Linked DNA regions of Saccharomyces cerevisiae S288C. The main gene of each other region encodes a partner of the protein of the gene in region 3 in a complex. Each region holds a gene or a part of one and is shown on either strand. Other genes may lie near its edges. The genes, in order: MOB2, SSD1 and CBK1. A codon is read from its position in the direction of its gene.

Evidence for each region.
Region 1: the proteins of CBK1 (region 3) and MOB2 are in contact, whole or in part, in a crystal structure (PDB 5NCL), measured with the Saccharomyces cerevisiae proteins. Residues at the interface, in NP_014238.3 of Saccharomyces cerevisiae: Met266 (codon at 6,709), Arg270 (codon at 6,721), Arg271 (codon at 6,724), Leu274 (codon at 6,733), Leu275 (codon at 6,736), Thr276 (codon at 6,739), Gly278 (codon at 6,745), Thr279 (codon at 6,748), Lys282 (codon at 6,757), Ala283 (codon at 6,760), Ala285 (codon at 6,766), Val286 (codon at 6,769), Lys287 (codon at 6,772), Lys289 (codon at 6,778), Ile290 (codon at 6,781), Glu291 (codon at 6,784), Phe293 (codon at 6,790), Tyr294 (codon at 6,793), Ser297 (codon at 6,802), Val298 (codon at 6,805), Ala301 (codon at 6,814), Arg304 (codon at 6,823), Arg308 (codon at 6,835), Glu312 (codon at 6,847), Leu329 (codon at 6,898), Gly333 (codon at 6,910), Glu336 (codon at 6,919), Ser337 (codon at 6,922), Gln338 (codon at 6,925), Leu340 (codon at 6,931); in NP_116618.1 of Saccharomyces cerevisiae: Glu98 (codon at 1,073), Pro99 (codon at 1,070), Leu105 (codon at 1,052), Thr112 (codon at 1,031), Ile113 (codon at 1,028), Pro117 (codon at 1,016), Lys118 (codon at 1,013), Tyr119 (codon at 1,010), Val120 (codon at 1,007), Asp121 (codon at 1,004), Glu124 (codon at 995), Trp125 (codon at 992), Ala127 (codon at 986), Leu128 (codon at 983), Phe131 (codon at 974), Glu132 (codon at 971), Asn136 (codon at 959), Gln139 (codon at 950), Phe140 (codon at 947), Val143 (codon at 938), Glu146 (codon at 929), Tyr147 (codon at 926), Asn194 (codon at 785), Lys196 (codon at 779), Phe199 (codon at 770), Pro200 (codon at 767), Thr201 (codon at 764), Lys202 (codon at 761), Asn203 (codon at 758), Gly204 (codon at 755).
Region 2: the proteins of CBK1 (region 3) and SSD1 are in contact, whole or in part, in a crystal structure (PDB 5NCL), measured with the Saccharomyces cerevisiae proteins. Residues at the interface, in NP_014238.3 of Saccharomyces cerevisiae: Asp450 (codon at 7,261), Val451 (codon at 7,264), Arg453 (codon at 7,270), Phe454 (codon at 7,273), Phe672 (codon at 7,927), Arg673 (codon at 7,930), Gly674 (codon at 7,933), Val675 (codon at 7,936), Ile680 (codon at 7,951), Glu684 (codon at 7,963), Ala685 (codon at 7,966), Pro686 (codon at 7,969); in NP_010579.1 of Saccharomyces cerevisiae: Phe211 (codon at 6,701), Lys212 (codon at 6,698), Phe213 (codon at 6,695), Pro214 (codon at 6,692).

Annotation. Positions count from the first base shown.
Region 1 is NC_001138.5:62,516-67,999, forward strand, and holds MOB2 (Mob2p), read right to left. Parts: upstream 1,479-5,484; coding exon 1,459-1,478; intron 1,345-1,458; coding exon 501-1,344; downstream 1-500. Other genes in the region: RPO41 (DNA-directed RNA polymerase), read left to right, coding at 1-322; 60S ribosomal protein eL22 RPL22B, read right to left, coding at 1,728-2,084, 2,406-2,417; MIL1 (Mil1p), read left to right, coding at 2,962-5,484. UniProt on the Saccharomyces cerevisiae protein: Functions as an activator subunit for the CBK1 protein kinase. Part of the regulation of ACE2 activity and cellular morphogenesis (RAM) signaling network. Required for coordinating polarized cell growth during interphase with the onset of mitosis.
Region 2 is NC_001136.10:1,042,062-1,054,966, forward strand, and holds SSD1 (mRNA-binding translational repressor SSD1), read right to left. Parts: upstream 7,332-12,905; coding exon 3,579-7,331; downstream 1-3,578. Other genes in the region: HRQ1 (ATP-dependent 3'-5' DNA helicase), read left to right, coding at 1-900; SRP101 (signal recognition particle receptor subunit alpha), read right to left, coding at 1,085-2,950; sphinganine-1-phosphate aldolase DPL1, read right to left, coding at 8,398-10,167; HDA2 (Hda2p), read right to left, coding at 10,562-12,586. UniProt on the Saccharomyces cerevisiae protein: Can suppress the lethality due to deletion of SIT4, and partially the defects due to BCY1 disruption. Is implicated in the control of the cell cycle G1 phase.
Region 3 is NC_001146.8:326,684-338,196, forward strand, and holds CBK1 (serine/threonine protein kinase CBK1), read left to right. Parts: upstream 1-5,913; coding exon 5,914-8,184; downstream 8,185-11,513. Other genes in the region: GTPase RIA1, read right to left, coding at 58-3,390; YNL162W-A (uncharacterized protein), read left to right, coding at 3,646-3,864; 60S ribosomal protein eL42 RPL42A, read left to right, coding at 4,639-4,642, 5,155-5,471; YGP1 (Ygp1p), read left to right, coding at 9,862-10,926. UniProt on the Saccharomyces cerevisiae protein: Protein kinase that seems to play a role in the regulation of cell morphogenesis and proliferation.

The DNA.
Region 1 (5,484 bases), on a different chromosome or scaffold from region 3:
TCAAAAGATTATTAGAATCCGTAAAGATTTATCCAGAAAATTAGGAAGAAGTACTACATTAGCAGATGAAATTTATTTTGAGAAAAAAAGGCAAGAATTATTAAACAGCCCTCTAATAGAAGATAGAAATGTTGGTGAAAAGATGGTTACAACTGTATCATTATTTGAAGACATCACTGACTTGGACGCACTTGAACTAGAAAACGGTGGAGATGAAAATAGCGGTATGAGTGTTCTTTTACCGTTGAGATTACCTGAAATCCCACCTAAAGGTGATTTTGATGTTACAGTATTGAGAAACAGTCAATATTTTTTCTCGTGAGCCGTGAACTACAAACTAAAATTTATTTGTGTTATTTTTATTTAACTTGTACATATATATATATATACATACTTAGCGTTTATCGTTTGCATTATTTTTCATTCTTTTTAATTGTTTATATTAAGTGTCTAAAATAGGAGTGACCCATGGTAACTAATAATAATAATTGTGTTCACCTCTAATTATAAATAATTTTGCCCTGTTTTTCAAAGCTTTCAATTAACGGTAGCAGCGGAGCCATTTCCTTTCTGTCAATGATCTTAAACTCCTTTGCAAAACTAATGAAATGAGAGAAAAATGAATTCCAATGAGCTTCTAATGACAAGTGCACAATTTTGTCAAAGTGGTGGTGATAAATATGTGCGAATATCCTGAACATCTGTACCATGATTCTCTGCACATCTCTCGAAAATTGCTGCGGGAATGGTAGCCCATTTTTGGTCGGAAACAAGTTTTTATCGTTCACTTTGTTATTTATCCACGTGAGGGCCAAATCTATGTACTGACTAGCTGGCAGTGAAACCTGTCTATTGTTTGCGTCCAGCCATAAATAATCCGTGTGAGGGCCAGCGTTCATTGTTGGATACGCGTCAGGCGTTACGTACTCCGCTACTACTCCGTAAAATTGGTTCAAGTTTGTGAAGAATTCGAAAACGTTCAACGCTATCCACTCTCCCAGGTCCACATATTTGGGCAATTGTACTATTGTTTTAAATGAACCTTTCACTAAAGCAGTTCTTACGAACGGTTCGCTGAGAAACATTATCTGTTGTGATTCTGATCTCTCACTAGCTTCTTGCTGTTGAGACTGTGGTGTGGTAGATGTCAATTGCTGTGATTGCGGCGTAGACTTTTGTGCGGGGAAACTTGTTTGAGAATGCCTCTTAGGCGAATGATGTTTATTTCTTAACGATAATCTGGAATTGCTGCTGTGGGGGCTTGAATAAATGGTGTTCATTGCTGGCGGCTGAGCAACATTAAGGGGCTGGTTTTTATTTTTCTTTGAGTTTCTTCCGAATGCTCTGTTTTGCAAAGTATACACGTAGGATCAAATGATTTGATTAGGTGTGTTGGCTAGTTAGTAAAATGATAACGCAGGTCCAGAAGAAAATAAAACGACAACAGTGTGAACATACTTGAAGTTGAAGAAGGACATGATGTGCTGATAAATGCTTGGTTGGCTTGCGGAATTGGGGTAGTTGCTTTTCTTAAAGTTTTTTGATGATCTTCGTGTTTCAAAAGCTAAAGCATTTCTTTTTCTTTTCTATTTTTCACTAATTTTCGTGAAGTGACATATTGCAAAAATAAAATATGTAAATCAAAAGAGGGACAAAAGGATATATTAAGGGTGGTGAATTATGATATGAATAGCATTTTATAAATTAATATACATGTGAGTGTCTATTTATTCGTCATCCTCTTCTTCGTCAGCATCTTCAGGGGTGACTTGATAGAAAACCAATTTGTATTGGTTTTGCCTTATAGAGACGAATCTGATCCAGTCTCTTAGCTGATTCTTCTTCAAATACTTCTTTGTTAGATATTTCAAGTATTTACCAGAAAATTTGGCACTGGATACTACAGTGACTATAGAACCATCTTCAGTAACCTCAATGGCGTTCCCTAAGTTTCCTACGGCACCATCTACTTTAATATGATCGATTAAGTACTTGGAATATGAAGCCGGATCGAAGACTCCGTTTTCAGTTGGAGAGGAAACGTCAACGGTTAAGGTTTTGATAACTTTTTGCTTTCTGGAAGTCTGTTACAGTTTTATGTTAGTAATCCCAACTGAGATGAAATCATCCTTGTCGTTTGGACGAGGAAAAAATGTCTGGCCTACTGCTATTAACAATCACTTCATATAGCTAGAGAAAGCGCATTGCCTCTGTTAAAGCTATAAGGGGTGAATTTTTAAAATACAGAATAGCTGAATACATAAAAATGTAACTTCGAGATGGAATCCACTAGTTCGCTGTGAAAGCGGGACTGTTCAATGAACTGTAGGAATAGACAAACTTTTTAAAGATTTTATTTTCTTTCATGTTCTCTAATTGTGACATAGGAACGAAAATTAACGTACGTTTGGAGCCATTGTGGTTGATATTTGTGAAACGATATAGGTTTACTGTGCTACGGTGTTTTTATGATCCCAGATGTTCAAAAAAAATCAATAATTATCAATTAATCGTGTACTTTAATAATCCATATATGAATCATTTAGGTAATTAGCTCTTTTTTGCTTGAAAAATTCATCCATTCGGCTCGCGTTGTCTAAAAAAAAAAGTTTGGAAACTTTTTTGTATAATTTATGGGTGTTATCTCTGAATATGTACGGGTGTTGACATGGAGAAAGCAGTCTCGATATTTTGCCGACCTTAATGCTTTAAGAATATGAAAGGAAATGCGGTGCAAATAAACGATCCTATCGTGGTAGTAGGAAAGGGTGTGTACTACTAATAGAGAATTATACCATACGCTAGTTTGTTTCCGAGTTTGAATAGCTTCGTATTTTCCTTACTGGCTGGTACAGTTAGTTTTAGTGATTCTATTAGTGATTGGAAAGCATAGTGGAAGGGTTTCTCGAACGTAATAGAGGCAGAGTTAAAAGAGAAGATTAAACATTACAGTACTAAAAGATGTCCGATTCGGAGGAAGATTTAGGTGTACAGTTGAAAGGCTTGAAGATAGCGAGGCATTTGAAGGAGTCAGGGGAGCATACTGATGAAGAATCCAACTCAAGCCCCGAACATGATTGCGGCTTGAGTAATCAAGATGATTTAACTGTTATGCATACACAGGCTAAAGAAGAAGTTTTTAAACGAAGAGAAGAAGACGGAACACGAACCGAAGATGCTTTACATGAGGGAGAAGCAGGAAAAGAGGGCACAGGTTTTCCCTCATCACAGTCAGTGTGCAGTCCTAATGAAGCAGATAGCGGTATTGATCGGGCCGATAAACCTATTTTGCTGGACCCTTTTAAATCTGTGCACGATACGGATCCTGTTCCAGGTACAAAGTCCAGGAGCAATTCAGACTCCGACTCTGATTCAGATGATGGAGGCTGGCAAGAGATGCCCGCTGTCTCATCGTTCAATATATATAACCACAGAGGCGAACTAGAGTTGACTTCCAAGGTTAGAAACTCAGAACAAGCCTCTGAGACGTCTCCCACAGTTCCTCCAGGAAAAAATTGCAAAAGTGTCAATGATTCTAGATTTGACTATACGAAAATGGCCGCTGAGCAGCAAGCCCAACGATCCTATCGAACAAATAAAAAAACAGATTTCCTTTTTGACCACAAAGTACTGAAAAAGAAAATTAACAGTTCGCAAACTTCCGTAAATTTGACTTCTTCCCCTTCGACTACATCCTTGAACAATGAAAAAAATAATGATGACGATGATGATGATTCTTATGACGAATATGAGGACGACGTGGAACCAGTGAACGACTTGAATCGGGACTCGCAGTTAAACATAACGAAAAATCTGCTATCTGATATGGAGAAGTTTGCCTACGTAGGTGCAATAAACATTTTGGCAAATCAAATGTGCACGAATTTGGCTACGCTGTGTCTTTGTATTGACATTAAATCCCACAAGAAACTAGCACATAGATTACAGTTTACCCAGAAGGATATGGCTGCTTGGAAAACTGTGGTTTTATCACGGCTATATGATCATTTGGGGATATCTCAAGAAGAAATTGTTATGATTGAGAAGCTTTCTCTGCACAAAATCCAATTGGAAGATTTGTGTAAATGTTTGAAAACCACTCAGAGCATTGATAATCCATGGGAGAATGATAGAGACCACGAAGAAGACGGTATAGAGGAAACTACGGAACGAATGAGTCCAAATGAACAAAATGGCTCAGTACAGGCTAGTACTCCCGACCCAGAACAATCCGCAACACCTGAAACACCAAAGGCTAAACAATCACCGTTATCTTCGGACGTTCCAGGAAAAGTACTCGATCCGGAAAATGTCAAAAGCCAAGACAAATTAAATATAGATGTGGCGTGGACCATTATATGTGATCTTTTCCTAATATGCTTGCAATCCTCCACCTATGATTCGAGGTCAAGGACTTTGTTGATAAATTTTGCCAAAGTCTTGAATATGACTAGCTTGGAAATTTGTGAATTTGAAAGACGAGTAACAGATTCCTTAGACATGGAACAATCTACAGAAGATCAAGTATGGGATGAACAAGATCACATGAGAAATAGACGGAGAAGCAAAAGAAGAAAGAAAATGGCATATGTCGCACTTGCCATGGTAGGTGGTTCTTTGGTCCTTGGACTAAGTGGTGGTTTACTAGCCCCCGTCATTGGCGGGGGGATTGCTGCTGGTTTGTCAACAATAGGTATTACTGGTGCTACAAGTTTCTTGACCGGAGTGGGTGGTACCACTGTTGTTGCCGTTTCAAGTACTGCTATTGGTGCCAACATCGGTGCTAGAGGTATGTCAAAAAGGATGGGAAGTGTGAGAACTTTTGAGTTCAGGCCACTGCATAATAATAGAAGGGTTAATCTAATCCTAACAGTGTCAGGCTGGATGGTTGGTAACGAAGATGATGTTAGATTGCCATTTTCTACGGTGGACCCTGTTGAAGGTGACCTGTACTCGTTATATTGGGAGCCCGAAATGCTAAAGTCTATTGGTCAAACGGTCAGTATTGTAGCTACCGAAATTTTTACCACCTCGCTTCAACAAATTTTGGGTGCCACTGTTTTAACAGCCTTGATCAGTTCTATCCAATGGCCGATGGCTTTATCGAAATTGGGTTATATTTTAGATAATCCGTGGAATGTTTCTTTGGACAGAGCTTGGTCTGCAGGCAAAATTCTTGCTGACACCCTAATTGCAAGAAATTTAGGTGCCCGCCCCATTACACTGGTTGGCTTCTCAATAGGTGCGAGGGTCATTTTTTCTTGTTTAATCGAATTGTGCAAGAAAAAGGCTCTAGGTTTGATTGAAAACGTTTATCTATTCGGTACACCAGCTGTCATGAAAAAGGAGCAACTAGTCATGGCAAGATCTGTAGTTAGTGGGAGGTTTGTAAATGGTTATTCGGATAAAGATTGGTTTTTAGCATATTTATTTAGAGCTGCTGCTGGTGGATTTAGTGCTGTTATGGGTATTTCTACGATAGAA
Region 2 (12,905 bases), on a different chromosome or scaffold from region 3:
CACCAAGGCTATCCCTACCTTGTGAAGGAGTTTAATCCTGATGAAAGATATGCTAAAGTGCAAAGAGTAGATGTTGACTGGGTAACCAACCAAAGAGACTTTACAGATGTAGATCCACAGGAAATTGAACTTATACGCTCTTTAAGGAATAGTGATGTTCCTGTTTACTTTGGTAAGATCAAGACTACAATTATTGTATTTGGCTTTTTTAAAGTAGACAAGTACAAGAGGATCATCGATGCCATCGAAACCCATAACCCTCCTGTAATAATCAATTCTAAAGGATTATGGATAGATATGCCAAAATATGCCTTAGAAATTTGCCAAAAGAAGCAATTAAATGTAGCAGGAGCTATTCACGGGGCGCAACATGCAATTATGGGTATGTTACCGCGATTTATAGTGGCGGGTGTGGATGAAATACAAACTGAATGCAAAGCTCCGGAAAAGGAATTTGCAGAACGTCAAACTAAACGAAAGCGACCAGCTAGATTAATATTCTATGATTCCAAGGGCGGTAAGTACGGGTCTGGCTTGTGTGTTAAAGCGTTTGAGCATATTGATGATATTATAGAGTCTAGTTTAAGAAGAATAGAAGAATGCCCATGCAGCGATGGATGTCCTGACTGTGTAGCGGCTTCTTTTTGTAAGGAAAACAGCCTGGTCCTGTCGAAACCTGGCGCCCAAGTCGTTTTGCATTGTATTCTAGGTCACTCGGAAGATAGTTTTATAGATCTTATCAAAGATGGTCCAGAGCCAAATATGCCAGAGATAAAAGTAGAGACTGTTATTCCTGTGTCAGAGCATGTCAACTTTTCAGATGATTTTAAGATTATTGACGTTAGAAGAGCTACGAAAGACGATACTCATACAAATGAAATCATTAAAAAAGAGATATGAGCACGCTATTTGTAGTTTGTAAACCGAATATAAATACTCTATTCTACTACTTGTAGATTCACTTGGTGGAAAGAAGTTACATCAACATTCTGTCACCTTGTTGATGCACAGAAAAAAAGACACTTTATTATTGTTGAATAACATTGTCTGTGGTATATATATATATACTATGATATTACAGTTTTTAAGACATTAATGTATTAACAGCCCATTTTACGCTTAATGTCCTCAAATCGGTATAGGTTTGTCCCACGCCAACGAATAAGATAGGAATCCCCGTAGCATAAACCATATTTACCATAGTACCCAGCATTTCACCAACTGTGTCACACTTGGAGATAATAAAGAAGTCAAGATTTCTTCCCTTTCCGAAGGCATCATTAAAATTTTTGGCTTGCTGGACAGAATCAGTACCTACTAAAGCCTCTCCAACCATAATGATTTTATCTGGCTTGGCTTGGTCAGCGAAAGACTTCAATGGCGACATTAAAGTAGGATCATTATGCCTTCTCCCGGCAGTATCCATTAACACTATATCGAAGTTTTGATCACGAGAATATTTGATGGCTTGCTTTGCAATTTTGGTTACCAAGTCAGATCCACCATAACCAGCTTCAAATAGTTCAACGTAGTCATTACCAGTTTTACCCCTTTTGTTCTTGGAGCCACGAACGTGTGAATCATCCATTAGCTGTGCCAAATTTTCAACATGGACCCTTAGTTGCTCAACTGCACCAGACCTAAACGTATCACAAGCAACAATTAAGACCTTGAAATTATTTTGCAGTAACCAAAACGCTAGCTTTGAAAGATTTGTTGACTTACCAACACCATTAACACCAACTATAGAGAACACATAGGGATCACATTTACCTTCTTCATCCTTTTTGCTTCTTTTGCTCTGAATTTCACGGAGGAGATCAACGGATACACCAGGCGTTAATATTTGAGTTAATGCTTTTGTTAAAGATTCACGAGCAGTATTCTCAACACTGGTCCAATTTGCAGTTTTTGAGCCTACAAGATCATGTGAGACTTGCTGTGTTAAATAGTCTGCTGCCTCTGGTGCTACATTTTTGGTTATCAATTGTTGTGTTAACTTCTCTAATACAGATTTCAAATCACTTTCATTGATCGTTTTGTTACCTAGAACGTGTTTTTGAAGGAATCCAAAAGCTGTACTGACGTATCCAGAATTTTTAGCTTCGTTCCCACTAGTTATCTCGTCTTTATGAGAAGACAAAAGATCATCAATTTCTTTGATTAAGAAATCGCCTCCTTCTGTTCTATCCCCAAAAGAATCTTTATTAATAGTGGAGTCTAGAGCTACTTGGCTACTATTGTGGCTGTTGGATGATGAGAAATCTAATTTGGCTGCATCTTCATGATTCATTTCATCAAGCATGCCACCATCACGGCCCCACTTTCTCCCACTACCAACATTTCCTGTAGATTGCTTCTTACCTTTTGTATCCCTCAATTTTTTCTTGGTATTTTTATTATGCGATTGGGGTACTGATCCATTTTTGGTAAAATTATCTGGATTGATATGGTCTTGTTTTATTGACTCTTCATATTTTATCCTAAAATATTGCTCAAATTTCTTCAGGTCGTCTTCAATTCCCTGAAGAATATCGACGTAGTTATGCTTGTTCTTTTCGTTTTGGCCCTGACGATTTTTTAGAATGGATTCACTTAAATGCAATGAGTTCCAGAGTTTTAACACCAGTGCAAGTGTTTGTTGAGTTTCTTGATTAAGCTCTAAAGTCTGCTCGGCAAAAGTCACTACGAAATACAATTCTGGTTGCTTATTCAAATAAAATAGTGCATTAAATGAAGGAGAATTTTTGTGTTCGCTGTTGATTGTTAAAAGATTGAAATCAAATCCGTCTGTATTTGCGTTTGCAACACTTTCTTTTCTAGTTACTGGGGAAGTAATCAGCTGGGATATAAAGCTGTTAATTTGTATTTCAGAAAACTTTTTTCCTAAACAGTTATATTGGTAAAGTACTTGACCTTGAGGGGTAAAGACTGCTAATTGGTCGAACATAATCAATGCACTTATTGAACCGTGAATCTCCTATTGAAAAAAACTACTTGATGAAGTAGCTGAATATTATTCAAACTGTGAGAATACCACAAATCTTTGGCTACAGATTAAACGCTGACGAAAAATTGGTTTATTTATTTCTATCTACTTATTGTACGACCTCAAATGTTTACGCAGTAGTTTCTGAAGTACGAGCAAAATTGCTCGACGATGATTTCGTTATTGTTTCCGGAAAAATTACCCAGCGCATAAAAAGTAAGCTTTCAGTACTTCTCTTTGATGATATTTGTACAGCAAAAGGGTATTTAGTAACGGAATAAATTTAATATATAAGAGTATAAATAACAAAAGACAATATAAATTGAAAAGTTGTAAATATTGAAAAGAAGGCTGCATTATTGTTTTATGTATTTTTGGGAAAAAATATATGACTTAACGAGGTCGAATAAAAAAATTTGGATGATGCCTTACCGGAACGTGGATTAAAAGGAGAAGTACAAAATTCATGCAGTTGTTAATGTTCGCAGGAAATAAAAACAAAGGGAAGGGATACTGAGGGGTGAAGCACAATCCAAAGAACGAAAGTGAAAAACAAGAAAAACAGCAATGACGATATTGGTAGAAGAGATTATACCCTCTTCATGAATGGATTTAATGCACGGACGGTTAAACATGGCAAAGCCATCCCCACCTCAGCTCTCAATAGAATAGGAATCTTTTGCAATTCATGTATTTCTTGTATATAGTTATCATTTTCAATTCTGGTTTCAGTAGTAGAAATGAATTTTTCTAAAGCATTTTGCTTGTTGTCGCTTGCAGATGGTAGCCTTAAATTTGGTACTGTTAGATGCAAATCGCTGAGTTCCTTACTCAATGGATCGCTGATCAATGGTTCAGATTCCGCTTCTTTATCTAGTTCAATATTCGCAATCTCAGCGGCTGTGGATCTGAATTTGTTCTTAATGGAATTTCTATAGGATTTTGGATTTTTTTCATCTGCTGGTATAAAAGTTGCACTATCTACGCCGGGCTGCCAATGCAATTCCAAGACACGATTGGTACCATCAAACTCAGCTTTGATCAAAGGTAGTTGATCTCCATGAACTCTCTTTTCAATACCAAATTCTGGAATAAATACATCAAAGGAGGACTCGTAAACTTGTAAGACAGTAGCCATTGTTAATAATTGTCCTGTAGTATTTCCCATGTCGTTGATTGTTTTACACAACAATAGATGAATTGCTTGTTCCTGTGCTTGATAAGCACAGTCCTTTTTAAAATTACAATATTCGGAGGTAATCTTCAAAGCTTCCATATCTTCGGTGTATGGAGTATCGTGGATAACGGCCTTTAATTGCCTATGAACGACATGATCAGCGTATCTTCTCATTGGCGCTGTGAAATGTGTGTAGATAGGTAGGTTCAAGGCATAATGCCCATATTGGTCCGGGTCTACTTTGCCAGCAATAAAGTATCTAGCTCTTGGCATGGTTTTAAACAGTAAAATTTCAATTCCGACTCTAACATCGTCATCTTTAATTTTTAGCACCCCTTTGATTAATTCATCCGCCGTATTGGTATCAAAATTGTAACCAAAATTTTGAATTTTCTTTCTAAATGACGCCATCTTGGTTGCAATGGGTTGCATCTGCCTTCTCAAAAGAGCTAGATCACCAAGTTTGGTGTAAATTTTCTCTGCAACAGTGGAGTTGACCTTTCTTTTAATCTCATTAATTACAACAAAGCCTAAAGTTCTATCCAGGATGTTCAAGTCAACCTTAACTTTTTCGTCATCCAAGCTTTCCAATAAGGACAGGGTGGGAAGTAATGTAGCTTCTGGATCATTTATTCTTCTAGCATAAAATGATCTAGCAATTTCCTGTACAGTAGAGAGGTAGCTAGTGGGACTTCCAGTAGATAATTTTTCGTCTAATTGTTCTAAAGACAAGATGTTTGAGGGGGAAATTGTAGATTCGCCTACCCAAGTAGATTTAATCCTTAAAGTAGATGAGTCTAGAGTGTAAACAACCGACAGCGTGGCTGATTCCTTGCCAGGGGCCAACGACAGTTCGTCGTTGAACGATTGTGGTAATAAATTGACAAGTTTTTGTGGCATGAACACCGCAGAGGACCTCTTTCTCGCACGCCTATCAACAGAGGAGCCTTCTTCAATATGGCTGGTCACATCAACAACATGACAACCCAGCTCTAGGGTACCATTTCCGTTATTCCTGACATGTAAGGCAAATTCAGACACCCATCCAAGCTCGGAAATTGCAAAGATATTGTACTCATTAGTGTCCGTAAAATTCCTCCTATATTCTAGACTTTCAGCCGTTAATGGTAGCGGCTGAAAACTTGGTTTTTCTTTTTGCGGATTTTTTTGATCCAAATATTCATTCGAAAGAAAATTGTTATCCCTTAAAATGGAATCAATTTCAGTATCAGGATCGTGAATATCTCCAAGTTCGGAAACTAAAATACCAAATGGATGCAAAGATGTGATTGGCCAACGTTTAATAGAGGCAACGAATAACTTTTCGGAGTATTTATCAGCGTTTTCAACAAAGTCCTTTGGAGCTAATTCTGTAGGAATTGCAATTAATGGCACCTTCTTATCAGTAGGCTTGAACCAAGCAATTTTTGGGCTTTGTGGTGGTTTGTTATTGTCGCTATTAGCTTGTTGGGATGGTCTCAACAAACCTAATGTACCGCTAAATAACTGACCAGGGATACGGTCCAAAACAGCAACGACATGGCCTGCGTAAAGTGGCTTATATTTATCGTTGATTTCTTCTTCTTCAACTAATAACAATGACTGACCTTCAACTTCAACATCGTCATTTTTCTTTTGAGTTGGACGTTGTTTCAATGAACTTCTTCTCCTTACTCCTGATTTGGTAGGAGATGATAAGGAATCACTATCATTATTGATAGTAGATGACCTCTTTCTTCTGACGGATAAATCATCCTTGCTTAGCGAATCAGACGAGGAGGGAGAAGATAGAAAATTGTTGCTTGTTGCAGCAGTAACAGATGCATCGTTGTGGTAATCGTCACTACTGTTCAAAGGAATTAGATCGTGTTGCATAGAGGCATCCTTTCTCCTCTTCTTTTCTTCCTTTTCTTTCTTGGACTCCCAAACATCGTCCACAACTAATAGTTCTACCGCGACTAAATCACCTTCAAGTGCTCTATTACGATCTTTGGAGCCGCAAATGTAAATATCCGCATCAAGAGCGCCATCTGTAGAGACCCAGGCATCCGATCTATTCTTTTTATTAACTCTTAATATACCAGCTACTAGTCTCCCTTCTTGGATTAGCTCTGGAATGTTGGCTTGGGGAAGGTAGGGTGCAAATAGGGACTTACGTCCACCTCCGTTATTATTACCTTGTGAACTGAAACTATGAACTGATGAATTAGAGGCACGATGTTTGTGTCCCTGCTGAAATATCGCAGGAGGTTCTAAGGTATTGAAGGAATTGTAATCCCTTGAATTAGATCCTCTGTGGCGGAATGGAGAAAGCTGCTGTTGAGGTTGCTGTGATTGGTTTCTCCAGTTGGAATTAATGCCTGGAGAATATTCATTGTTTCTTGTCTTTGAACGGCGGTGCGTTGAAGAGGTTGCTATGAATTCATCGTCATTATCCCCGTGAGAGTTTGGAGGAAATTTGAAAGAGGGAGGTGATAGGTTTGAAGTTGCGCGACGATGGCCCTGATGAGCATTTGGTGGTGGTGGAAATTTAAAATCAGATTGTTCTGTAGTAGAATTTGAGCCACTATCAGCTTGAACAGAATCTATCTTCACAGTTACGCCTGCTTCACCCCCAGATATTCTTTTAGCTTGTTCTTCCGCAGCAGCCTTTTTCGCTTCATTTAGACCTAAAGAATGTCTTCTGGAATGGCCATATATGCTGGATTGTGAACTCGTCTTTCTGTGTGAGTTAGACCCAGGATTATTGCTATTGTTATTGTTATCATATGAATTATGATAATATCCGGAGTTGTTCCTGGAGTGAGTTCTACTTCTGCTGCCACCTGCACTCATACCAGGTGAATTACCGTTTGAGTTGTAATGAGGGTGAGGCGGTTGAGGCGTGAAATGATTGTTAGAGCCAGAATTTCCTGACAGGTATTGTCCTGTCTGTTGTGCCAATTGCTGTTGCTGAGCCATCAACTGTTGCTGCTGTGCTTGAACTTGCTCCAACTGCTTCTGCAAAGTGAATTGTTCAATCATCAAATTTGTCAACTCACTTTGGGAACGTCTGTGTGCAACATGAATCTGCTTTGGGGCGTTTTTACCACCTCCTGTGGTTTGCACAAACATGTTATTTGGCTCTTGGGATCTATTGTTGTTAACGTTGCTATTTTTAGACATAGTGTATAAAGATGGAATAATTGGGCCAAATCTTTGCGCTGAAAGGTTTTTGGTGTTCTGTTTTGCGATATTAAAGTGACAAAGAAAAAGATGGAACTTGGCAAATACTATACGTTTATGAACCCTTGTCTTATTCTTCGTGCAGGCAACTTAGATTTCCCTTTGAAAAAAAGTTGTTTCTTTTAGAATAGTGGCTATGAAAAAAGTGCGCCTAATGCGGAAAAACGAGGCACCAGCTGTTCTAAAATAAGACCAAAATGTTTAGGGTACCAGAAAAATGGTATGGCGAAAATAAGCCTGGCAAGAAGACTATGCAGATAACTTTGACTATTCCGGTTTTTAGGTTACCAAAGACAGAAGAAAGGATCGGTCCCAAAAAAAGGAAATAGCTTATAAGGGAAGTTGCAGAAAATGCGCTTGAGTAACAAAAAATGTTAGAACGTAGCAAATATTCTAAAAGGAATGACAGAAAAACTTCTTACCTTTCTAAAATATAATCTCTCCTATTTCTCAGCTAGGCTCAAAATTATAATTTAGAAATTATTGTTTGCACGGCAAAACTTCGTTCCTTTGCTGTTAGAAAATCAGTCGGTGTTGGACTCTTCGTCTTTTAAATTCTTGACAAGAGAAGAGTTTTTAAATGAAAAGAACTAACGAGAAAAAACCAGGGGAAGGAGGGAAAGAGCGAAAATACTCGTGATCTAAACTCTTTTAGGTTAGTTTTCGTTGGAGGCAGTGGTCTTAAGACGATGGTGAAAGAAAGGACTTATTTGTAGAAGGATTGTTTATTTAATCCTTGAACTAAACAAATGACAAACTCAGGTCTCTAGCGTTCCTGTTCGTGGCCTTTAATAACTTGATGGCAATGGTAGAAAGACACACCTGCGTTATATAAGTTTAGTTTTCCCTTCTTTTCCTTTCTCATCCCCTCGTGAAGCGACTCGGCCCCTTTGGTCAGAAAATTCAAGGTGATACAAGTCGTCGTCCGTGACATAGGATCAGGAATCACAATCATCACATTGCACTCTCGTTCTTTAAATTATGTATGAGATTTGATTCTATATAGCTACTTGGTGGCGGTATCCTCTCCTGGACCCAACTTGTATAATGCGTCTAGGAATCCCACAATCAATTTGTCTGCAACGCCAGCAGTTTTAACGCTCCCGGCGACACCATATAGAGCGCTAGTTCCGTCTGGGGATGGTTTAGAATTTGATTCGCTCTTCAACTCTTGCACGGTAGTACGTAAAATGTCGCAGATCTCATCCACAACATGAGCGCTCAATCTCGTGAAGGCCATGTGTAGTGCAACCGGCTTTTGTAGGGCATTGAAATGCCAGCCTTTCTTGGACAACCTGTCAGATAGTTCGTGTATGTTCAAGGTCTTTGAAGAAAATGAAATGACTGAATATCTAGGGTTGCCCATTATATTCAGGTCTGGAATGTTTTCCTGGATGTATTTTTTAAACTTCATTGCTGCACCGACTATTTCTTGGCACGACTCAATGTACCCATTTTCACCCATGTTGACCATAGTGGCCCAACAACCTACGACAATAGCACCAGGCCTGGACCCTGCTAATGTAGGAGAGCCATATAACCCGCCAGTCCAAGCAGGATTTACGTAATACTGATGCATTCGTAAGTCGCTGTTTCTATACATTATAACTGACGAGCCTTTTGGTGCAAATCCATATTTATGAGTGTCACATGATATTGAGGTGACTCCCGGGACTCTAAAGTCAAGTAATGGCAGATTTTTGTAACCAGCCTTTTCCATAAATGAAACAATAAAGGAACCTAGACAACTGTCGACGTGTAAAGGAAGTTTATATTTTTGTGCTATTTTACCCAATCCTTCAATATCATCGGCAATACCATGAGGAAAGTTTGGAGCGGAACCGACCAGTAAAATTGTGTTCTTATTGATGAATTTTTTCACTTTTCCCAGGTCCACTTGATATGTCGTTGGATCTAGCTCCACGTGGCGTAGCTTCATGCCAAAGTAATAAGCAGCTTTGTCAAACCCAGCATGTGCAGTTACGGGAGCAATTATTTCTGGTTCGGTGATTCCACGATGATGAAGGGCATACATTTTAGCGCTCAGACATGCTAAAAGCAAGGATTCTGTACCACCTGAAGTTGTGGTACCACAACCTGTATCAGAAGGGGCATTAAACATTCTTAAAACCATAGAAACCACTTCGGATTCCATTTTACGTACGGCAGGAAAGACATCGGGATGTAATTGATTGGCAACGCAATATTTTTCGTATGCGATTGTTTGTAAGTGGATCAAATCATCACCACCGTGGTAAACGGCACCAGAGACCTTTCCTTCCTTCCATTGGGTATGTGGTATCAAGTCGTTCAATTTATTTAGCTCTTCAATAACATCATCCTGAGGTATCCCATTGGATGGCAACTGTGGGAAATTCATTAACTGAGAGTCCGATCTAATTAGTTCGTCTTCGATCGATTGTTTGACCTTTGTGACTTCCTTTTCTACGGTACCCCTCAAAAATGGTGAGTCCAATAACCAACGAAACAATCTTCTGGAACTATGCTCGTATGTTCTCACTGCTAACCTCACCGGCCCATAAACTTTCAACAGATAAAAAAAATTACTTATTAGCTTGTAACAAAAGATCACAAACAAATAATCCTTCAACATGTTGTACCATGGGGTATTTCTGAGGTAACCATGTATGGCTATTTTTAATTCGTTGATGGTTAGAATCATAAACTGGGCAAAGTCGCCTTCTTCCCTTAGTAAATGAATTGGCATGCCATACCAACCATTAATTGATACTGTTTTATTTGATACTCCACTCATTGTATTAGATGGAAAAATCCCTTTACAGAAGCTAGCCTACTTGCTCGGTAAAGAGGATCTGGAATAGTTATAACGGTTGGAGAGGCAAATTGAGGGTTTTATTTATATGTGTACTGAAAATATACCAATTTTTTCAATCAAAAAACCCCGATGCGGCCGGCCGGTATATATGGTAACTAACATGAAATAATGCACCAGAGTAGTTGATGAAATGTTTCTGAAGAATAAGGCGATAAACGATAGGCAACTGTGTAGATTTAAATATTTGGCCAATCTCTATGTACTTTCTCTTTTTTTCCAGTGTCAAATACTTGTAGAAACAGTCTAATTCATTAAGAAAGTATATAAAATCTCTCTATATTATACAGGCTACTTCTTTTAGGAAACGTCACATTCATGTGTAATTAGGGGTATTGGATCTTGTTGATCTAAACCGTGTACCATTTGCGGCAGCTTTTTCCACCTGGACGTTGTTTTTGTTTTTTAAGTCGTACTGTCGGTTCATTAAGGTTATGTAATTCTTTAAGAATTTGTTTCTTGCTTTAAGCGACTGAAAATCATTCTGTAAACGTTCCAGCTCCTTCTTCAAGCTTTCTGTGGAAAATTTAGTCAGTGGACCATTAACTTCGTTTTCTAAAGACTTCATTGATTCTTGCAAAATTTTCAATGTTTGCGCGGACTCTGCGGCTTTTGAAGATTCTATTTGATATTTGGAACGTAGTTCATCATTGAGCTTTGATTTTTCCGCATTTGCTTGTTGGAGTTCCTTTAACTTATTAAAAAGAGTCGCATTTTTGTCTATGTATTCCTTCAACTTGTCTGCTAAGGCAGATCCCTCTTCCAGATGATTTTCTGATGAAATAGTATTCGAGGGCAATTTGTTGAAATTCTCTAGTTCCTGCCTATTTTTCAGTAAGTGATTTATTTTATTTTGTAGCTTGGTAGATTCTGTCATCGCATGCTTCAACCTTTTTTCAGAGTCATTAATGGATTTTTCCACTTCTTGTTTTTTCTTGAATGTAAGACCAACAGAATTCTTTATTTCGTCCAACTGGTTCTGCCGTTGAGTTTCGTTTAATCGTTTCTCGTACAGTGGAACAGTGCCTTTGGCATACTCGTCCTGTATATCTCGCAATCTTATGACGGCTCTATGCATTAACTCTGTTTGGTAGGTTTTGATATCCAATGGTCCGTCCCAAAGGGGCAATTCTGTAGACGAATATTGCAATTTTGTTAATTGAGGCTGCCAAAACCCAGAATCGCTCGAATCTTTGGAGGCCTCATCTAACGTTATCAAATCCAAAACCGGTAAAATGTTATTGCAATCTTTCCCCTCTAAACAACACTTTACCAATTTAATATAATCAATCTCACAGTTGTTCACCGGAGCATTCCTTGCTTGCAAAAAATATAGTAAGGAGGATTTGATCTCTTCATATTCTTGGCTATCATCGACATGACCGTTATTGCTCAAATGCGACGATTTAACACTTGAATTCTTGATTTCAGAATCTAACAAGTAATGATCTGGAGAATTTTGTACTAATAGCTTTATTATCGGAATATCCTTATTGGCATTATTCCTCAGTACCTGCAAAGCGGGCAATTCAACTTCCAACATTGGATCAAAACTAATTATCATATCTATATCATAGTTAGCCAATAGGTATTGATCGTGTTTGAGATGTTTGGTAGTGGCTAAAAACAGCCAGTCATCCGTATTTATTTTTCTTTTTTTCAGGTTTCTTTTCACTGAGTAATCATAGTCGTCCTTAGAATAACCTGTATAAGAGGTCGAATTGGAATTAGAGCTTGTGCTGCTTACAGAATTTGGTGTTCCATCTTTATTTATTGTGGAATCGACCGTAGGTAGATTAGGGAATTTGTGTTTCTCATTATAAAGAGATGTACCGGAAAGTCTCTTGGTTCTGAATTTCTTGCCTAATATTAAACCTTCTAGCAAATCTAATTCCTTTATGCTGTGTGCGATGATGGCACATTTTATAACTTCGTTTGGTGAGCCCTCTCTGTCTCTAAAGCATATCGAATTAATGAGCTGGTTGAGAACTTGAAACTTGTGGCTCCCAGCAATAGAGCTTTCCGTGGGCTCCATTCTCAAAAGCTGTCGAGGCATATAATGGTCCACTAGAAGGGAAGGATGATTGGCTATTGCTCTTATGTTTGAATCAAAGATATAGGTTAATTGCCTTTGTGATAGCGTTGGATACGGATGTGTTTCAGGGCCAGCAGGTAAGCCGGAAGGCTTGTTCACTGCATCTGCCTGTGGTTCTCCTATTATGCTTGCTTTGAATGACTTGGCGTGCAGGGATATCAAAATTTCTGATAAATCCTTTTGAAATTGGGTTAGCGTTACAGGTAAGTAATAGACTTTTAGTTTCTTAGAATTTTTCCTACTCATGTCGATAGTATTGTATCTATTTTCTTTATTTTTCACACACTAATGAAGCCAAATACTTTTACTACTACTTAAACGCCTTCAATCGTTCTCAATTCTGTCTTTTTAAAAAAAAAAATTTTTTGTTACCTCTCCTTTCTCGATGTTCTACTAGTTGTGGTTACTCTTCTGTGCCGCAATTATGTTATTTTAGTAGGACTGTATTTTTTTTTTTTCTTTTGTTGTCGCTTTTCTTATATATCTATATAACTATTTATTTGGGCTGTAGAGAACTTTCTCAGGAAATATAAACTAGGAGACATTCGTGTAAGCAATGAACCAT
Region 3 (11,513 bases):
TTCAACTAGTGAAAACTATCTATATTAGTCTATGATTCATATAAACCCTAAAAAACCTTAATTCTTTTTCAAAGTACGTTGTTTTTCGGCATTTTCGACAACTTTTTCTTCAATGAATAGACCTTTCCTTCTTCTGATGGCATTCATATGCTTACGGGCAATATTCTCTCTATCTGCTGTATCACCTAGTTCCTCCAATTCTTCTTCTGTGGTTGGGACCCAAAATGGATCTAAATCGATACACTCGAATCCGGAAAATACCAATTGAGGTTGTGCTGCACCAGATGTTCGTTTACGAATATCTTCACTTAAACCGAATGCTTCCACAACGGGCACATGTGCCTCAATTTGAAAAAACGGTGTACCTTCTTTCATTTCTTCAGAAATGATTTTACCATGCCTCTGTAGAATAACGGCATACACTTTTCCAAGTACATCGACAGAGGTTTGAATATCACATGAGTAAATTGCCCACATAATTCTTGGGGACCAGTCTAAAAAGGCCTCATGTATAGCGTCCCTTGTAGAAGTTATCAACCTCCCTGATAAGTCCACAATATGTTGTTGGTAGCGCGGATCTTCAATAGATTCAATTTCGTCTTGTGACATCTTATGTACGCTTTCAACAAGAACACACATTCCCTGTACGGGCTCATTTGCCAGAGGTCCTTCGCTAACAGCCAGTTGGAAGCCATTTTTGATGGAATCTGAATACTCAAAGGCTGCTGGAGTACCTTCAAATAGGCTTCCAAGAAGATTATCCTGCGACAGCAAAATGTTGCACCCAACTCTACTTGGCCCAAAACCTGCTAACTTTACTTTAAACCCACTTAATAGTTCTCTGCTCTTCTCCTCCTGATTTATGACCTCTTCAAAAGCAACGAGTAAAGACTTTTTGTCTAGAAAAGAACTTCCAGTTGATTCTATGACGGGATCCATGCTTGAAGTGGACGTCTTCAAAATGTTTTTAATGCTATTTTGATGTTGAGATAAAAAGTCTGTAACTTTACCGCTTAATGGGAACGTTCTGAATGTAATCTTGTACTGGCTCAATAGTAGTTCATGAACACCCCTTCCCAGCTGTGAATTCTGCGGTGGATTCATATCTGAGGCTGATAAAAATGTTTCCCTATATGGAATAGCCGGTTCAGAATGTGTAATTTCTATTCCTGCAAATCTCTCTGTTAAATCTTTTAGGCATCTTTCTAAATGTAATTCACCGGCCGTACACAGAATGTGTTCACCAGTATTTTCAACGTATGTGTGCACGCAAGGATCTGCTTGATCCAACAACTTTAATCCTCGTACCAACTTGCTCATTTCCACAGGATTGGCTGGCTCCACAGCAACACGAACGATTGGCGTAAAATGGAAATTGACGCCCGCTAGATTGACGCCTTGTACGCCCTTCTCTATCAACGTACCACTCTTTAAAACTTTACCGGCCAGACCACGAATACCGACTATATTTCCTGATGGACAAACGTCCAAAGGAACCAATTCCTTACCCATAAACAAATATAAATGCGTAATAATCGCAGTTTCAATATGCTCCTCTGGACATTTTGGATCATATTTTGGACCCAATACCGAAATCTCCTGACCAACTCTTAGTGTGCCACTGTATATTCTTGCAAATGCTACCAAGCATTCTTCCTTTTCGTCAAAAATATCATCTACTTCATCGTTCACATCCTCTGAAATTTGCTTAATACTCTCCAAAAGTGGATCTTCTTCCTCATATTCAAACATTGAACTTAGAGGGTCATTTGGATCTATGTCAGTTGGTACAAAATCTAGGCCGAAGTTATCTTGACTATCTGAATCATCCTCCCCCTCATATTCAAATTCTAAATCCAAGGCGGAAGAAGGCTCTGAAACAACACAGAAAACATCATTATTTCTTGAAGGTTTTGGCTTTGTCTGTTCTCCTACTTCGGGGGTCATAACGGTATCTTTTGCTCTTTTATATAAATCTGATGTATTTTTAGAATTGTCATTCAAATCCATCATTGCCATATTTTCTACCATACCAGCATGTTTTGCAGCATTAAGTGCTTCCTCACGTGCCTTTCTACTTCTCTCCATCAGCTCATCCGAAGATGCTATCCTCTTAGATTCAACAGGTAATTCTTCTCTAGGAATTGAAAGCATCTTAGATACGTATGCACTAACTGGTCCTTCTTTATCACATGTCTTCATGGCTTTCAGAAGTCTTGGATCCATGGCTGCTGTGTCGGATTCGGAGACCAAAATAGTGTTCAAACGATCGGTTTGTGATTCCAAAGGTGAAGGTAATTTTTCAATAACTGTTAACAATACTGCTGTGCTGACGGGTAGCCATTGACCCATGATAGTTCTTAACAATTGTTTATCGTCCTTCGACCTTAGATCACGTGCAAGTAGCTTAATATTTAAAGTTTTTGCTATTTTTTCGACCATTTCAGAATCTCTCGATGTGATTATGTTTTGATAAATTTTCCATATATTTTCGAGGATTAGCGATGTGAAAAGGGGTTTCAGGGATCTTCCCTTAAGGCCTTTATTGTTAATAATTTTTTTTGTCTTGGGATCCATATAGAAATCACCCCATAAAACTTTCTGTAGGTTTTCCCTTTTAGCGCCTAATTTTTGTTCGTAAAATTTGGCCAATTGACCGATGTTGAAACCCCAACCATCAATTGCGGAAGCAAAAATAACGTTGTTATCAGTAGGGTTAAAGTAAATACCCGAATCATCCTTTTCAATATATTCCGCGTTTTCGTTCTTTTCTAATTGCTCCCTCCAAAATAAATCATCCAATTGTCTCTCGTTTGCGAAAAAGGACCCGATAACTGAGTTGACTTGTTCAATGACTTTGGACAAGTGAATATAAGCTTCTTGGGGAGTTAGTTGTAGTTCTGTGATCAATCTATCAATCTTATTCAATACTAAAATGGGCTTCAGCTTCTCCGTCCAACATTGTCTCAACACTGTGACGGTTTGCGAGCATACCCCCTCTACGACATCAACCAGTACGACAGCACCATCACATAGTCTTGAAGCTGCACTGACCTCACTTGAAAAATCAATGTGACCTGGGGAATCAATTAAGTTTACTAGATGCTCGCTTACAAGAGGCTCATCGGAACCTTCTTGTTTACGCAATACCCTAAAATATAAAGAGATAGCCGATGATTCCATTGTGATACCACGTAGTTGTTCGTCAGGCCTGGCATCTAAGAATCGAATTTTGCCGGCAAGCCTTTGTGATATAATACCATTCGAAGCCAAAAGAGAATCTGAAAGTGAAGTTTTACCGTGATCAACATGAGCAACAATACATATATTTCTTATACAGGAAGGGTCATTTTGCAGACGTTTGTAAGTCTCCGATTCCACTCTAGGCATATTTGCTTATCGTGCTTAGAAAAATAACTGAGTTTGGTTATTTTATAAACTATTTTGATAATCTTGATGATGTACAAAGATTGTATTTCGGGTGCACCTATCTATCAATATTCTTGGCTCTTAAGTTCCCATTTTTCAAAATTTCTTTTCTCGTAGGAAAAAGAAAAAGGAAGCGATGAGCTGAAAATTCCACTTTACAATATATCGAATATCCAGTATACCAAAACTACATACAAACGAACACGTCATTAAAAGATGTCTGATAAGCCCGACTCCCAAGTATTTTGTCCAAATTGCAATGAAAGACTTCAAAAGTGTTTAGTACAGCAAAATTATGCCATTATAATATGTCCCAGCTTAGTCTGCGGCTACCCATTCAATCAAAGAGAAGTACTCGAAAATCTAACGTATGTAGACGATAATGACGTCTTAAAAGTTGCAAAAAAAAGATTATCTTCACGAAGCAAACCATAAAATAGTTGCACTATTGCTGTTCATTATCTTTCATTATCCCTAGTAACGCCATTGCAGAGTCAAATATGAGCGATAACAATATAAAGAGCAATAACATGATAGTTGAAATTAACATAAAAGAAGCGACATAATTAAAGGTCTCAAAGAGTGAAGATCAAGTATCCGGTTTTTACGAATAATCTACTTTCTATGTGAAACCCAAAAAAGTTCGTACAAGGAAAACTAAAAAGTGTGTAATAACTTGTCTAGCTTTGGCATTAAAACTTGTCAATTATTCATCACCAATATAGACTAATGCGTTTTGGAACGCCAAACCGCAGTGACAAATAGCAAATATGTAGCTGTCATATCGGCATATAATAACAGTTTTCTACCAAATGCTGTCCTACATTCAGAGATCTTACATCCTTACATCTAAAGTAAAACCTAGACATTTACTTCGAGTTATACTTTTTTTTTATTTATCTATTTTTTCTCTTGCGGACATTTAACACCTGAATTCCGCCTAACGCCAGGACTGATCCTGCCAGGGAAGGGAGCTTTGTCTAGTGCCAATAGGCCGGACCAGTAGGAAGGTTACAGCAGCTGGCCCGCAGAGTGATTGGGTCACAGGAAATAGCGCAACCTTCTCTTTTGCCCGGGAAAGGCGGTTCAATCTACCTTCGAAGGGCTAGTACATGAGCGCGAAGGAGGCAGATAATAGCACCATTAAGTGGTCCAAATGCATCTTGAAATCTAATCCTTAATAGAGGAAAACAACAATTATCAGTAAAAATGGGTATGTTATAACCATAATTCCTAATGGTGAATAAAATCAGGACCAATAAAGAAAAGCTAATTTGATTTTTATTGTCAATGAAATTTCATAATCGTCATGAATGCATAAACAGACACACCTAGCAACTGTATAATCTGCGCCTAAAAAGGGCGTATACACAAAACTAAACGATGCGCAATAAAAGTTCAGCAGTCAGCAATGAAACCGAGATATGCAGCAACAGAGTATCATATGCATGGAGGATCCTTTCTGTTTTTCTGATAATATGCTCTGAAAAAGCTCCAAACAGCACAGTAGCCTATTTGTGAAGCTCAAAAAAGGCTTCTATTTCCCTCGCTATCTTCAGATTGTGCAGTGATATTCTTTGAGGAAGGAAACGTAGAGGGGATAAGTTGGATAACTGTTATTTCTTTTCAATATGCTAGATTTTGCTTACCACCTTACTGATTTTTTCTAATAATAAACTTTTTTACTAACATTAGTACGATGTCTCATCTATTTCTTCTATTTAGTTAACGTTCCAAAGACCAGAAAGACCTACTGTAAGGGTAAGACCTGTCGTAAGCACACTCAACACAAGGTTACTCAATACAAAGCTGGTAAGGCTTCCTTGTTTGCCCAAGGTAAGAGACGTTATGACCGTAAACAATCTGGTTTCGGTGGTCAAACCAAGCCTGTTTTCCACAAGAAAGCTAAGACTACCAAGAAGGTTGTTTTGAGATTGGAATGTGTCAAATGTAAGACCAGAGCCCAATTGACCTTGAAGAGATGCAAGCACTTCGAATTGGGTGGTGAAAAGAAGCAAAAGGGTCAAGCTTTGCAATTCTGAATCTCTTTATGGGTTTCGCTTTTGTATTTTCTTTGCTTTAAAATCTGATATAATTACATATTATTACAATATAAAACTTTACGATAATTCCTGCAACTAATGATGCGTTAGTACGGTTCGGGCGCTCTAGGACGCGTGTCGGTCGGGTAACCATCATTCTTATTCGACGAAAATGATTAGTTTCCAGAGAAGCAGTTGCACTCCAGTTTGATCTGCAGTCCAGCGACTATTTTTAACATTCAAAGATCATTTTTCGTTTGAATAGTTGAGCAAGGTCATATAAATTTCTATATCACACGAATAAGGGTTCAGATATTGCTTTATTATCGGCGAACACTGATATTACCACATAGATATCGCTCTTTTTTTGAAACGTAAGCGTAAATTTCAGTATAGGTACACGTCTGCGCTGATCCTTCTGTAATCCTCTGCAGTTTTCGCAATGTATAATAGCAGCACCAATCATCATGAGGGTGCACCTACTTCAGGACATGGCTATTATATGTCCCAACAACAAGACCAACAGCATCAACAACAACAACAATACGCCAACGAAATGAATCCGTATCAGCAAATTCCTAGACCGCCTGCTGCAGGATTTAGTAGCAACTACATGAAAGAGCAAGGCTCTCATCAATCGTTACAAGAGCATTTACAACGTGAGACAGGTAACCTTGGCAGCGGTTTTACAGACGTTCCAGCCCTGAATTATCCAGCCACACCACCACCACATAATAATTACGCAGCTTCAAATCAGATGATCAATACCCCACCGCCGTCGATGGGTGGTCTTTATAGACATAATAATAATTCCCAGAGCATGGTTCAGAACGGTAATGGGAGTGGGAATGCACAATTACCCCAATTATCACCGGGCCAATATTCTATAGAGTCAGAGTACAATCAAAATTTAAATGGCAGTTCTTCTAGTAGTCCGTTCCACCAACCGCAAACGCTACGGAGCAATGGGTCATATTCAAGCGGGTTAAGGAGTGTGAAAAGCTTCCAGAGGTTACAACAAGAACAGGAAAATGTCCAAGTTCAGCAACAACTTTCCCAAGCACAGCAACAAAATTCCCGGCAACAACAGCAACAACTTCAATACCAGCAGCAGCAACAACAACAACAACAACAGCAACATATGCAAATACAACAACAACAACAGCAGCAACAACAGCAGCAGCAATCACAATCTCCCGTTCAGAGCGGCTTTAATAATGGTACCATATCAAACTATATGTACTTTGAAAGACGACCAGATTTGTTGACTAAAGGAACGCAAGATAAAGCAGCAGCTGTAAAGTTGAAGATTGAGAACTTTTACCAATCCTCTGTTAAATACGCCATTGAAAGAAATGAAAGAAGAGTGGAGTTAGAAACAGAACTAACTTCTCATAATTGGTCAGAAGAAAGGAAATCTAGGCAATTGAGTTCTTTGGGTAAAAAAGAGTCACAATTTTTAAGGCTGCGTAGAACGAGATTATCGTTAGAAGATTTCCACACTGTGAAAGTCATTGGAAAAGGGGCATTTGGTGAAGTCAGACTGGTTCAGAAGAAAGACACCGGAAAAATATATGCAATGAAAACTTTATTAAAATCCGAAATGTACAAAAAGGACCAATTAGCACACGTCAAGGCTGAAAGGGATGTTCTGGCTGGAAGTGATTCTCCATGGGTGGTTTCGCTATATTACTCATTCCAAGATGCTCAATACTTATATTTAATCATGGAATTTTTGCCCGGTGGTGATTTGATGACCATGCTAATCAGGTGGCAACTATTTACAGAGGATGTTACTAGATTTTACATGGCTGAGTGTATTTTGGCCATCGAAACCATTCATAAATTAGGATTCATTCACAGAGATATTAAACCAGATAATATTTTGATCGATATTAGAGGTCATATAAAATTATCTGATTTCGGGTTGTCTACGGGGTTCCATAAAACTCACGACTCAAACTACTATAAAAAGCTTTTGCAACAAGATGAGGCAACTAATGGTATTTCCAAGCCAGGTACTTACAATGCAAATACAACCGATACTGCAAATAAAAGGCAAACAATGGTTGTGGATTCTATTAGTCTAACAATGTCAAACAGGCAACAAATTCAGACATGGAGAAAATCACGTCGTTTAATGGCATATTCTACCGTAGGTACACCAGATTATATTGCTCCTGAGATATTTTTATACCAAGGTTATGGGCAAGAGTGTGATTGGTGGTCACTTGGAGCAATTATGTACGAGTGTCTGATTGGTTGGCCTCCATTCTGTTCCGAAACTCCACAGGAAACGTACAGAAAAATCATGAATTTTGAGCAAACTCTACAATTTCCTGATGATATTCATATCTCTTATGAAGCCGAAGATCTAATCCGTCGACTATTAACTCATGCAGACCAAAGACTTGGTAGACATGGTGGTGCAGATGAAATAAAAAGTCATCCATTTTTTCGCGGTGTTGATTGGAATACAATCAGACAAGTAGAAGCACCGTATATACCAAAGTTGAGCTCCATCACCGATACTAGGTTCTTCCCAACCGATGAGTTGGAGAATGTTCCAGATTCCCCAGCTATGGCACAAGCTGCCAAACAAAGGGAACAGATGACAAAGCAAGGTGGAAGTGCGCCAGTCAAGGAAGATTTACCTTTTATTGGCTACACTTACTCCAGATTTGACTATTTGACAAGAAAAAATGCGTTGTAGGGACGCGTTAAGGACATTCCTCTTTATTCAAGTATTTATCTATGGATGTAGAACGCACATTATGAATAAATAACTGCACTTTTTTCGGGAAAAAAATTACCAAAATAGACATCAGCTTTATCATATGTCTCCTTGAAGTATTTGAACGACCACCTTTCCGAAGACAATGTACCTAGTAACCTACAGGCTGCCCTTAATCCATACATCCACGCACAATAGCACAATCTCGGTGATGGCTGGTTTTTTTACCTTGAAAAACAAGAAAAATGGCTGATGTAGTTGAAAAAGGTAAAAGAGATGGCAGATCAGGGGACGATTTTGTAGAGGAAGTATCTATATATATCGACCATATTGAAAAAAATATGAAATAACATACACACGTGTAAGAATATATAATTTTTGTTATTAACACGTCGTAAAAGAGAAAAGATCGTGCTTTCATCACGCGCTTCCTCTCGGCCTTTCGAACTATAAATTATAAGATGATCCAGTCTTACAATACTGAATGAAACTCAGGGAAGACGATAGCGGAGGTTCGACAACCGATCACTGTAAAACCTACACTTTCAAGTTCATTAATCGTCGCTTGAAAGATCGTCATAACCAAATATTGCTAGAAACAAAAGCGTTCGGGATAGGTCAAACCATGATGAACTAGTTCCACACGCATATCTTAAAGCGTGCTATTTTTTAAAAAGGGCAAATTTAGGAATGTCTGACGGAATCCCTAATCATCTTTGGCTTTTCCCTTCACTCCCTTCTTTTACCGACGATGGTTTGAAGGAAAGAGAAAAATGAGCAATAGGAAAATTCAGTAGTCGATTTCCATTTCAATTCCCTATTGGGTAATGTGGCGGCGAGGGCTAAACATTCGGTATCATTGATTCAATGTTCTCACAATGTTCAAATTCTCGGATCGGGTATCCCTAATTGGGATCTCTTTCCAGAGGAAGGGGCCTTGATGTGGGATTGAAGACACATGAGTTTTTTTCTCACCGTCGAAACTTTTGCTTACCCGTAAAACATCGGCCATTCGTTGGTTTATTATGTGACTTTTTTGTGACTTTTTTTTTTGCGAAGTTTTCTCGTCATCCGCGGAAGATCCGGCGGGCGAAAAAGTCTCTCACTTTTACCCAATCGGGGCATGTTATGTGGACATGTTATGTGTCCAAGAGACACATGAGCCCAAAAAGGGTACACTGTCTAAATAGTTTACCCTTTACGAATCGAAACTTCTCGAAGAAGGGGCCGAAAATTAGCGCAGAAGTTGACGAAAGTTTATACTTTTCCTAATGGAGAGGCTCAGGAGCTGAAAAGGGATATATTCGTACTCTATTGCATCTTCAAACTCCGAAGAATCTCAGTAGGGAGTGAAGCCGGCTTCTCGATGCTACAGTTCAACATCGATACTTTGAAGAAAGAAAGCGCCTATTATATCTCTTTTACCCTATTAGTAATAATTAGGAAAAAGGGAGAAAAAAGTACCTCACTAAAAAAACCATCATCTCTGAAATATAAAAAGCTTGATAGAGGGTGACATTTGCTAGAACTTCTGCTGTGTTCTCTTGGGTTATTGCTCTTATTGAATATCCCTTCTATTTCTTTCTTGCTTGTAAAAAATCAGCTCAAAAAACATCTACAGGATTAATCGTCAGTTAAGTAATACAGTAATAGAAAATGAAGTTCCAAGTTGTTTTATCTGCCCTTTTGGCATGTTCATCTGCCGTCGTCGCAAGCCCAATCGAAAACCTATTCAAATACAGGGCTGTTAAGGCATCTCACAGTAAGAATATCAACTCCACTTTGCCGGCCTGGAATGGGTCTAACTCTAGCAATGTTACCTACGCTAATGGAACAAACAGTACTACCAATACTACTACTGCCGAAAGCAGTCAATTACAAATCATTGTAACAGGTGGTCAAGTACCAATCACCAACAGTTCTTTGACCCACACAAACTACACCAGATTATTCAACAGTTCTTCTGCTTTGAACATTACCGAATTGTACAATGTTGCCCGTGTTGTTAACGAAACGATCCAAGATAAGTCATCCGCCGGTGCCGTTGTTGTTGCCAACGCCAAATCTTTGGAAGCTGTCTCATTCTTCTTCTCTATCATTTTTGACACCGAAAAGCCTATTGTTGTCACTGAAGATTCCGCTTATGCCATTCCAGTCGCTAACAATAAGAACGCTACCAAACGTGGTGTCTTGTCCGTCACTTCTGACAAATTAGTGTACTCCGGTGTCTTCACTCCACCTACTGCTTGTTCTTACGGTGCTGGTTTGCCTGTTGCTATCGTTGATGACCAAGACGAAGTTAAATGGTTCTTCGATGCTTCTAAGCCAACTTTAATCTCTTCTGACTCGATTATCAGAAAGGAATACAGTAACTTCACTACTCCTTATGGTCTATTAGAAAACGGTGTTCCAATTGTTCCAATTGTCTATGACGGTGGTTACTCTTCCAGTTTGATTGACTCCTTGAGTTCTGCCGTTCAAGGTTTGGTTGTTGTTTCTTCTGGTTCTACCAACTCAACCTCATCTACTATTGAAAGCACTGAAATCCCAGTCGTATATGCTCAAGCTAACACTCCATTAAACTTTATTGACAACAAAGATGTTCCAAAGAACGCTGTGGGTGCTGGTTACCTATCCCCAATTAAGGCCCAAATCTTGTTGTCCATTGCTGCCGTTAATGGTGTCACCTCCAAGTCCGCTCTGGAAAGCATTTTCCCATGAACTGATAGATATTAAATCTAGCGAAGCATAGAGATTCTTTTTTTACCAGTCATCATAACCATTATTTTACAAAATTTCCACGCAACAGCTTTTATTTTCGTTCGTAATAGGAACCATACTTCCCATTAAAGCAGTATGATTGTTTTATACACCTTTTTATTGTTATTTAAGACATACCCCAAATAATTAATTAATTAATTGATGAAAGAATCATATAAATTCTTGGCCATACATATTTTTTTATTATCTTTTGCTACATTGACCATAGGTGAATATCTTCCCGGGGTGACACTCCACTGAAGTGGGAAAAAAAGAAAAGTTTTAAAACATTGCTCACCTTAAGTCTCGAAGGTCTAGCATTCACTACCTGTAAGTGTCAAGACCCCACATGTATACATGGATACAATAAAGAAACAATGTCCGTATAATTTGTATACATTTTACTACAGATAAGGGATCTCACCCCCTTCTTTTGTGTCTAAGTGAAATCTTCTGATATATTTAGTGTTTTATAGCGTCCATGTTTTAAACTAGAACGGCAAAATAGTAGTTGTTGTAAACGCTTATTTTCGAGACATCAGGTAAAA